Caenorhabditis elegans: one gene and its partner. The protein of the gene in region 1 purifies or fractionates together with the protein of each later gene. This does not show direct contact. Each region holds a gene or a part of one and is shown in the gene's direction. Other genes may lie near its edges.

The links. Proteins that work in one complex are often made in the same cells at the same time.
Region 2: the proteins of mec-12 (region 1) and tag-151 fractionate together in Caenorhabditis elegans (co-fractionation; one large-scale study listed by BioGRID). This does not show direct contact.

Annotation. Positions count from the first base shown.
Region 1 is NC_003281.10:3,136,211-3,141,167, reverse strand, and holds the start of mec-12 (Detyrosinated tubulin alpha-3 chain), read left to right. Parts: upstream 1-1,933; 5' UTR 1,934-2,033; coding exon 2,034-2,036; intron 2,037-3,418; coding exon 3,419-3,641; intron 3,642-4,957.
Region 2 is NC_003280.10:4,708,568-4,714,242, forward strand, and holds tag-151 (Pre-rRNA-processing protein TSR1 homolog), read left to right. Parts: upstream 1-1,709; 5' UTR 1,710-1,726; coding exon 1,727-1,832; intron 1,833-1,920; coding exon 1,921-2,075; intron 2,076-2,123; coding exon 2,124-3,815; intron 3,816-4,131; coding exon 4,132-4,264; intron 4,265-4,316; coding exon 4,317-4,501; intron 4,502-4,859; coding exon 4,860-4,946; 3' UTR 4,947-5,123; downstream 5,124-5,675. Other genes in the region: tsn-1 (Staphylococcal nuclease domain-containing protein 1), read left to right, coding at 1-960, 1,013-1,207; F10G7.10 (E3 ubiquitin-protein ligase), read right to left, coding at 5,231-5,527. UniProt on the Caenorhabditis elegans protein: Required during maturation of the 40S ribosomal subunit in the nucleolus.

The DNA of each region.
Region 1 (4,957 bases):
TTCAATTTACAATAAATTTTAAATTTCAGAACAAAATCGGCAAGTTACTGGGGCTAACTCCAAAATGTTAAAAATGTTTAAAAAATGTTGAAAATTCTCGAAATTTTAACTTTGATCGAAATTGAAATTTTTTGCCGAATTTTTTCTGTAAAATTAAAGCTATCGTCAAACTCTTTTTTACAAAATCAATAAAATACACAAACTGAAAAAAAAACAATTCAGCTAGACAATTTGAGATTTTTCGATTTTTTTTCAAAAATTTTCAAAAACTGCACAACAAAATTCCCTTCGTTCTTTTTTCTCAAAGCCTTTTCTTCTCAAAATTTATCATTTTCCAGTTCTTCCAAGAATATGAGACCCTATCAAAAATGAATGAAAAAGGAAGATCATCAGCTTAAAAATTCATACAACAGTGGTCCCAAGTCCCCCAAAAAATTCCAAATTCATCAAAATTTGAGTGTTAGAAATTGTGATAAGGTCCTAGGATCCTATTGGTAGTAGGGAAAAACTTAAAATTTAACAAAAAAAAAGGAATTTTTTTGAAATTATACTAGTTTTGAATACATTTTAAGCAGTAAAGGCCAATAAATACACAGCTGAATACTAGTCACCGCAAGCTTCATCGCAGAGCTCTGAATCTGAATGCATTAGGAGGTTCTTTCCATTTCCATCGGTAAACCAATCCTTTTGCTCATTTCCAGATGGCTTTCTCTCTCGGCTCTCTCCACCTTACACACTATTTCCTTGGATTACTGTAGTTGGGCGGAGTCTCTAAGGGGTAACCTGATACTGTTTGCTGAGGGCTCACGGAGCCAGAGAGGGCAGATGGCTGGAAATTGGTGGAAGTGGTGGGGAGAAGAATGTGTTGTTGGAAAATGTAAAAATTAATTTTTAATTATTAATTTTTTAACATGTAGAAACTTTAAAAAATTCAACTGACTTGCGAAAAGGTTTTGAAAAATTACAAAAAAATTTCAAAGCAAGAAGTTTTTTTTCAATTGTTTTTTAATCGATTTCTCTCAAAAACCTGTAGAGCTACGAAAAAATTGTCAACAAACAAAGTATAGCTCTAAAAATTGTCTACAATTTGCTAGTGAACAAATTTTTGATAACTTTCCTGGTTTTTGAGATATACAGCTTTATCTACAAAAAACGATTTTTTTTCAAACTGTATTTTGAAAAACTGAACTAGAATAATAATTGGGATCCGAAAATTTTAATATTTTTGATGTTTTTTTGTGGAATATTCGGCAAACTTACCAAGCTCGGTGAATGGCAAATTTCGGAAAATTTGCCGCACACCCTGGCATGTACCTTTCACCTAGGTTCCTTTAGACACATGTATTTCCGCGACGAGATAATGTATCAAAAAGTTGTCAACTTACAAAGTGTATCAAATTTCAAGAGCTTAATTTTGTTTGTTGGCAATTTTTGATAACTCACCTGGTTTTTGAGATACGTACGTTTGAATTTTAAATTTAAAAAAAATTGTAGAAACTTTTTTTTGAAAACTTCTCACCAAAACTAGGTCTTTAGAGTCCTTTCTAATTTGCCTTTGGGCAATATGTTACTTTTTCCCCAGTAACAGTTAAATTATATGAAGTAGAAGTTTCGCGATGGGAAATATCAAAATGTAGAACATCATAAAAGCTATATTTTGCTAATTACCAGCAGAGATATAAGATTTTTAAACACTGTCAAGGAAATTTTTTATTTTGTATTTTATTAGTTTTCAACAGAATTTTAATATGTCAAAACCAATGTTCTTAACAATTTCGCAACATTTTAATTTAATTTCGTTTTTTCTCTGTTTTTCGGAATTTCATGTCGTCTCCTTTCCCATCCTAAACATGGAGCTCGCGGAGCAAAAAAAGAAACATAGGAGGGGCGGAGCATGTGTCAACACGGAGAGACGCAGAGAAGGCACGTCTTCAGAAAAGAGGCTCACAGAGCACAGAGCCCCACTTGTGTGTGTTCTGTTCCATCTCAACTCGTCGCCCAGCAAACACAACTTGTAGCTCCTCTTTTGCAAAATGGTGGGTTTTCTAGATTTTCTGAACAATGTTTATTTGAATGTTTAGATTCTTGAGATGCTAGAAATGAATTCTTGTGAAAAATGAATTTTGAAACATTTAAACCTCGCCATAAAAACTTTACGAATCTGATTTCTTGTTAAAACTACCAGTATCTAGAAAAATAACGTGAATACTAAAAATTTGTCAACAGACAAAATATAGACCTTGAAATTTCCTACATTTCGTTAGTTGAAACTTTTCTTCTAACTCTTTTCCCTGTGGAGATATACTCGTTCAAAATGTAGCAAGCCAAACAGTGTGGAAGGGGGCTGTCTGCGTCTCTTCTCGTGCCACACTATTCCAGTCCTCCTAACTTTAACAGGGCATATCTCCGTTCGGAAAGCAACTGTCAAAAAGTTGATAACTAACAAAATGTAGGAAATGTTAAGTGCTGCATTTTGTTTGTTGAAATTTTTTGATATCTCAGCTCTTCGCTGAGATACAAACACTTAAAGTTAGCGACGAGATAGTGTAAGAAGTGGTGAGACGCAGACGCCATCGCCGTCTGCGTATGCGTTATCAGGACACATCTTGGTTAGGAACCCTGATATCAAAACAAATTATTTTAACAATTTTAGGAAAAAAAAACAATTTTTCGAAATTTGATTTTGAAAAACTAGGATTTTAGGATTTATTAACTCTTCCACCTCAACACCCCTTCAACATTTTTTCGACTCATTGAGCACACCTGGTGCCAGGTCCGGACTTCCGGAGCCCCACCACATAAACACAGGAAATGTTGCCAATTCAACTGAAAAATGCTCCGCGCCGAGCAGGACGGGGCGAAGGAGGGTTGTTGAGGAGTTGAGACGAGCAACACAAAATGTATCCAATTTGGGCGAAAATTGACTTTTTTCTCTTTCTTTTTGCGGGTGGAACTTTAGGGAGGAGAGGACTATTCCTAGAAGAAATACGCACTCTTCGTGGCGAGACCCGCGAAATTTTATTGAAAATTGAGTTTTACAATAAAATAGTGGGTTTGAACAAATTTGAAATTCGCCACGAATGTAAATTTTTCAGAGGGTTTGATCTACCTGTCTACCTGTAATACATATCAGATATCGTAGTAAACTTTTTAAAATGAAAATTTGAAATTTTGATTCAAAAATTCAAATTCACCACGCTGTGAGCTTCAATTCAAGTATAGTCATGCCTAGGTTTCACTGAGAAAACTGGGTCCCACCGCGAAAACTACAGTACCCCATGTAGACACTTTCGTGACGGGACCCAAATCTAAAGGAACATAGCCAATATGGGGCTTAATTTGAAGCTCTTCGTTTGCTGAATTCAAATTTTATAATAAAACCCTTTAAAATCTACAAACAAAAAAAGTTATCTTGCAGAGAGAAGTAATTTCGATTCACATCGGACAAGCCGGAGTCCAAATCGGAAATGCTTGCTGGGAGCTCTACTGCCTGGAGCACGGAATTCAGCCCGATGGTCAAATGCCTTCTGACAAGTCCCTCGGAGGATCCGATGACTCTTTCAGCACTTTCTTCTCGGAAACTGGAAGTGGACGTCATGTGCCAAGAGCCGTCATGGTCGACTTGGAGCCAACTGTCATTGGTGGGGGATTTTTTTTAAGAAGATATTTTTGAATTTTCACTTAAATTTTTGAAATCAGTGTTAAAAGCCCGTTAAAATAAGTATAATCATGACTAGGTTCTGAAAATGCTGAAATTTTTGGGTCCCGTCACGAAAACGTATGTGGTACTGTAGCAATCTTACAGAGATGTTAAAAATTATTATTTTTGCGTAGTTCAGGACTTTACGCATTTATAACTTCTAATTTCCGCCCAAAACTTTAAGTTTTGGCACATTTATGGATTTTCGAAAAATTTCGAAAATCAAAAAATTTAAATTTTCAAAACGGCACAGCAATATTCCCAGTTTCACCGCAAGACCTAATTTTTTTGGTTTTCATATTTGGCATTTTGAGAACTTTCATTTGAATATGCAAACATAACTAAGCTATGAAAATTCTGAAGGGGTACTGTAGCTCTCGTGGCGGGACCAAACTTTTTTGGAAATCTGGTCATGATTATACGTATTTTGAAGGTGTCGGAAAGCTGAAAAAAATTTTAAAATTTTGAGTTAAAAGGTCTAACTTTATGACTTTTTGTGGTTCTGCGAAAAAACGCAATTGGAAAATTTTTGATATTAGGCTTCTCCGAAAACCCTAGAAAAACGTCACCAATTCCATTTCGGCTCAATTTTCAAAGAGCTCTTCCTCTTTTTGCTTCAAATGGCGAGCCCATTGTGATGTAATTAGACGCAGACACTACACATCTGCTAACATGAATGGATGTACTCTCTCCAAGAATTTAATGGAATTGGAGTAGGACACCCTATTAGGGATGCAAATGGAAAATGTTTTGCTATTTGACGGAGGAAATTTTGAACATTTTCAGAGAAATTTGGGGTATCTGAAAATACTATACAAAATTTCTCACATTTTGTTAGTTGAAACTTTTTTGATAGCTGTTTTCTACGCAGAGTTACAAACGTTTTAACGTGTCGTTGTAAAAGATCGTGGGAGAGAAAGAGACGCAGACAACGAGCGCGACTGCGTCTCCCCTCCCTCCACACTCTCTCACTGTTCTTACTTTAAACGCGTATATCTCCGCGATGAGGAGAGCTATCAAAAAGTTGACAACTACCAAGTTGTAGGAAATTTTGAGCTCTATAATATGTTAATAAACAATTTTTTATTAACTCAACTTCCGGCAAAGTTATAGGCGTTTCAAGTTAGTCTAGAAAATTTGTTTGTCGTTAGTTTTGCAACTAAAACCAAAAGTTCCATGTTCCATCAACTTCCCAAATAGACAAAGTATACTCTCGGGAGGAAGCTCATCTTCCCCTCTCACCAACAAACTTCTTCG
Region 2 (5,675 bases), on another chromosome or scaffold:
GAGTTCCTATCAGGTGGATCTCGTCTTCGCATTTACATTCCAAAGGAGACTGTTCTTATCACGTTTTTGTTGGGAGGAATTAACTGCCCGAAGGGAGCTCGTGTTGGACCAGGAGGAGTATCGACTGGAGCCGCTGAGCCATTCGCCGATGAGGCTGCTGCATTCACCCGAAAGCTTGTCCTCCAACACGAGGTTCAACTAGAAGTAGAGAGCACCGATAAGAATGGAAACTTTGTTGGATACTTGTATGTGTCTCCAGATGGAAATACTTCACGAGCAATCAATCTAAGCGAAGCTCTTGTAGAGAATGGACTTGCTTCTCTTCACTTCACAGCTGAGCGAAGTGGGCATTACAACGCTCTTCTTTCCGCCGAAAACAAAGCTAAGAAAGCTAAGAAGAACATTTGGGCCAACTTCACGGAAGAGCAACACCAAGAGGAAGTTGAAGTACAACAGGCAGATACATCTGAGAGAAAGCAGAACTTCCGTCAAGTCGCTGTTACTGATATTGCTCCAGGAGCTCTTCGTTTCTCGGCTCAAAACATTGAAGATGGGCCAAAAATTGAAAAGATGACAACCGAGATGAGACAAGCTCTTGCCGAACATCCACCACTCGCTGGATCTTATACCACCAAGCGTGGAGATTTGTGCGTTGCCAAGTTCTCTCAGGATGGACAATGGTACCGTTGCAAGGTCGAGAGCGTTCGTGCTGGGCAAGCAGAGATTGTTTACATTGATTACGGAAATCGTGAGACAATTGAGGCTGTCAAGCTTGCTCAAATTCCAGCAGGATTTGCCAATTTCCCAGCTGGAGTTAGAGAATATAACCTTGCTCTTGCTAAGCTTCCAAACGAGGATTACGTCCAACTCACTTCTGATGCTTTCGCCCAGTACTTGTTTGGTCACTCTTCGGTATTCATTAACAGTGAGTACAAGGTCGGAACTTCAGAATATGTAACTGTAAGTTTTAATTTCTTTTTAATGTTCAAAATATTACAAAAAATTGTTTCAGGTTTATTACGACAGTGGAAACAAGAAGGTCGACATCGGTAAATCTCTTATTGCTGAGGGACTCGCTCTTGCTGATCACCGCCGTGAGCCACGCCTGCAGACTCTTGTCAATGACTACAACACTACCGAAGAAGTTGCTCGCAAGTCGAGAAAGAACATTTGGGAGTACGGAGATTTCACCGGAAATGATATCTAAATGTCTACTCAGTATTTTATTCAATTCGAACCCTGCCCTGCCCCTCCCCCAACCAGAAAAGTTTTATCCTCACAACACATATTCTTTTTTATTAATGAGTGTAACTGTGATGTATTGTACCCGATTCTAGTTATTCAGAGATCGCCCCCGGTGGTGGTTTCTCTTGTTTCTTGTTCAATTACGTATCTTTTCGTTTTTCCTACTTTCCACCGGGTTCGACTTCTTCTCCCCCCCCCCCCCCCCTTTTCCCTTTTTGCACCACAATTTTGTTGGGTTTTTCGAGTACATATTCTGAAGAGTATTTATTTATATATATTTATTGCTCTAATTTATTGTTTTCCGGTTTAAAAAATTCACTGTTGTAATCTGCATGGAATGAATAATTTATTGCCTTGTAGTTTCAAAGTATTCAGGTTTTTTTGTCAGTTGGTGTTGGTTATTATTCCAGGTACTTAATTATGATTTATCTAAGTATTCTAAAGTAAAGGAAATTTAAATAAAGAAACAATTATTTACCAGATGAGTACAACTGGCCATCGTGCGGGAGTGTTCAAGAAACCTTCAAAGCCCCACAAGTCTTGGAAAGGAAAACGGACGAAAGGAGAGATTACATCTGAAAATCGAGGTAATTACCGATTTTAAAAGTCCTTCAAATAGCTTCACAGGGATTTTTTCCCTATTAAACACTTATTTAAATTTATTTCGAATTTCAGGACGAGAAGGTGTCAAACAGCTCACGCGTTCTGCTCATTCCACCCACCGTACCATCTCCAAAGATGCTCGACGTAATCAGCTCAAAATGGCGAGAGATCAAAAAATGGCGGATGCAATGGAGAGACGCAGAACATCAAATGCTCCGTGTCTAGTGGTAGGGTTTTTTCAACTTGGAAATTAGTATTAAAACGACAATTTTCAGACTGTCGTTTCTCTCGGAGTTGGAGCTCGCCCAACAGAGTTCATCAAAAAGCTGGCAACATGTGACGAAACAATTATTCAAACGACTTCTCCATCCACCATTGACTTTGCGATTCCTCGCTTCAAATCTCGTGTATCATTCCTTACTCCAGATAAGGATAATGTTGATGGTGTTCTTGATGCGATTCGAGCATCTGATGTGCTTTGTTTTCTGTGGCCAATGTCTGCAGAGCTCTCCGAATGGGATGAGCAACTTTTAACGATTATCAAAGCAAATGGACTTCCAACAATTGTTAGTGTTGTTCCAGGACTTGGGAGTATTGCAAATCACAAGAAGAAGGAAGATGTTAGAAAAGGAATCGAATTTATCATTTCAAAATGGAGTATGAGTAATGCTGGAGTTATGCCAGCTGATTCTGTCACAGATAACCTTCAACTTTTGCGAATCTTGAATGAAACTAAAAAGAAGCCATTGACTCTTCAAGCCAGACATTCTTATATGCTTGTTGAAAACTTGGAATGCTCGGACAAAACTGGAGAAACTTGCACACTCGTCGCCCAGGGATATCTCAGAGGTCCTGAATGGAATGCTAACAATTTGGTTCATCTTCCAGGATTCGGTGATTTTCAAATCTCAAAAATCGAATCAACAGTCGATCCTCATCCATTAAAAGCACACAACAAAACGCCAGAAGCTCAGATAATTGCCAAATCTGATGATAAACGCCAGAACACAGAAACGGAGATCACACCAGATTCTATGGACGGAGAACAAACATGGCCAACTCGGGAAGAACTTGAAGAAGCTGATAAGGAGCTCCGTCGTGTGCCAAAAGGAACTTCGTCTTATCAAGCAGCATGGATTTTGGATGACGAGGATGACGAAGACGAAGAAGATTCCGATGAGGATATGGATGATAGTGATAATGAAGAAGTAGAGGATGATTCTGAAGAAGAAGAGCCTATGGATGATTTGAAATCAGAAGCCGGTGAAACTACTGCATCTGAAATGATGTTTGATGATGGAATTGATGAAGACATCAATATGGCAGAAGTTGAAAAATACCGAAAAGAGCGTGAAAATGCTCAATGGCCAGATGAGGTGGATACACCGATGGATATGCCAGCTCGAATTGCTTTCCAAAAATACCGCGGACTCAAAAGTTTCCGAACGTCTACCTGGGACCCGAAAGAGAATCTTCCACTGGATTATGCGAGAATTTTCCAATTTGCAAATTATAGAAACACCAAGAAGAATGTGATGTCAAAGATTGGTGGAAATGATGTAGATGCAGATTCAGTAGCCGATAAGAAGTTCAATGGAGCATTTGCAAGTGTTTTCATCGAGAATGTTCCAGTCGCCGTCCTAGAAGCTTACAAAGACGCCAAAAACTTGGTGCTCTTCCAGTTGCTGCCTCACGAGCATAAAATGTCTGTTCTCAATATGGTTTTGAAGAAACATCCATCTTGCACAATTCCAATCACTTCGGATCAGAATCAAAAGTTCATTTTCTATGTTGGATTCCGGCAATTCGAGGCGAACGCCGTTTTCTCATCGAATACACCTGGCGATAAGTTCAAGTTGGAACGATTTATGCCGACTGAGAAGACATTTGTGGCGACAGTCTACGCGCCGATCACTTTCAATCCGGCAACGGTGCTGTGCTTTAGACAGGACGATAAGGGAAGGCAGGTAAGAATAGAATGCGGTTCAAAATGAAATTATTTGCACGAAGTTGTTCTCATCTAAAATTATCCTAAAATTATAGATAATCACTTGTTTTTTCTGAGAATAACATTTATTTTAGCTAAAAAATTTGAGAAAATGTTCGAAAATTGCCTAAAAGTTGTCAATTGCCGATTTTCGCATTTTCGAGCTTTGGCTTTGCCAAGTTTCATGACATTTTTGAACATTTTCTTAAAAAATCTAGTGATTTACCATACTTTGACATTAATTATAAATGAAAAATGTTGGAACAACATCAAAAATTAAAAGAAAAACGTTTCAGGAACTTGTTGCCACTGGATCGATTCTCGACAGCAATCCTGACCGAATTGTGCTCAAAAGAACTGTTCTCGCCGGTCATCCATACAAAATTAATCGACGCGCCGTTGTTGTCAGATACATGTTCTTTAATAGAGGTTCGGCAATTTCAATTCAAAGTTTCAAAATTTCATTTTTCCCACTTTCCAGAAGACATTGAATGGTTCAAACCAGTCGAATTGTACACACCATCCGGACGTCGTGGTCATATTAAGGAAGCCGTTGGAACTCATGGAAACATGAAATGCCGATTCGATCAGCAATTGAATGCCCAAGATTCTGTGATGCTTAATCTCTACAAACGGGTCTTCCCCGTCTGGAACTATTCTATTTTTGTACGTAAAAATTCTGGAAATTAAAAAAAAAAAATTACTCCAAACTTGCCCTGGATTCCGAACATCTATGTTAAAAATTTCAAAAGTTTTTATCTCAACTTGAAGTCGTCCAAGGTTTTTTCAAACACCGAATTTTCACAGCAGTTTTGATTTACGAGATTTTTTAAATCTTTATTTTATTCTGATTTCAGTTTTTCAACGAGTTTCCTTCAGTTTTGTCGGAATTTAAACAAAAACTAAAAAGTTCTGAAAATCGAAAACTGAATTCAGCATGAATTAAAAAAAATTTCGGAACAAGGGGCAAATTTGGAATATTTCTAATTAAAAAACCCTATTTGTAATCTTTTAACTTTTACAGAACCGCTCCCTGAACCCATCTCGCTTCGTTGAACGTTCTCGAGTCGAAAGCATCAGTCTTGTCAATGAGGATGCTATGGAGGAATAGATTCCAATGTTATTTGTTGTGTTCTTCAAATTTTCTGTTAACTCATATTATCTTGTTGTTTTTTCCCCAGCTCCAATCGCTTCTTCTTCTTGTTTTTGTTAACTTTTTCCCGTTCTTTTCAGTGCTCCCATGTTCTTGTTTTGTTAAAGTTTCGAGACATAAAATTCAAAATGTTTATTTATCGAAAAGAAAACAAAAACATGTACAGCTAGAGAATCTAAATAGCCAGTTGAGTTTTTACAATTTTTTGTCATCTAATAATTTTCCACAACAATTCTATAGCTCTAGCGTTGAAACAAGTGACAATCCCGAATATTACTGGTAAATGCTTGTGAATTCGTCATATTGAACCATTGTGGAACCCGCTGCCATTCCTGCTCAGCCCAATCGTACTCGAGCCATTTGAGCCGCGATTCGCACAGGAATAACGGCTTTCCACGTTTCAGATTCCGATCCTCTTCCTTGTGAGCATCCAGGTAGATCGTACCCCATATGGCCGCCTGTTTGCCACGTGACACTACAACCATTGATGACGTCACGGAAAGGAAGAGACCCGACGATGAGGAACAGTCTTCGGCATGCTGGAAATAGGGAAAACAGTTTTAAAAATATAAGGACGCAGAAAAATCTGTGTGAAAACGCTCCGCCCCCAAGGGTTGGGTCTCGCTAGGTATTTGGCGGGAAAACCGTAAATTCAAATGTTTTCAATGTTTTTAATCGAAAAAAATT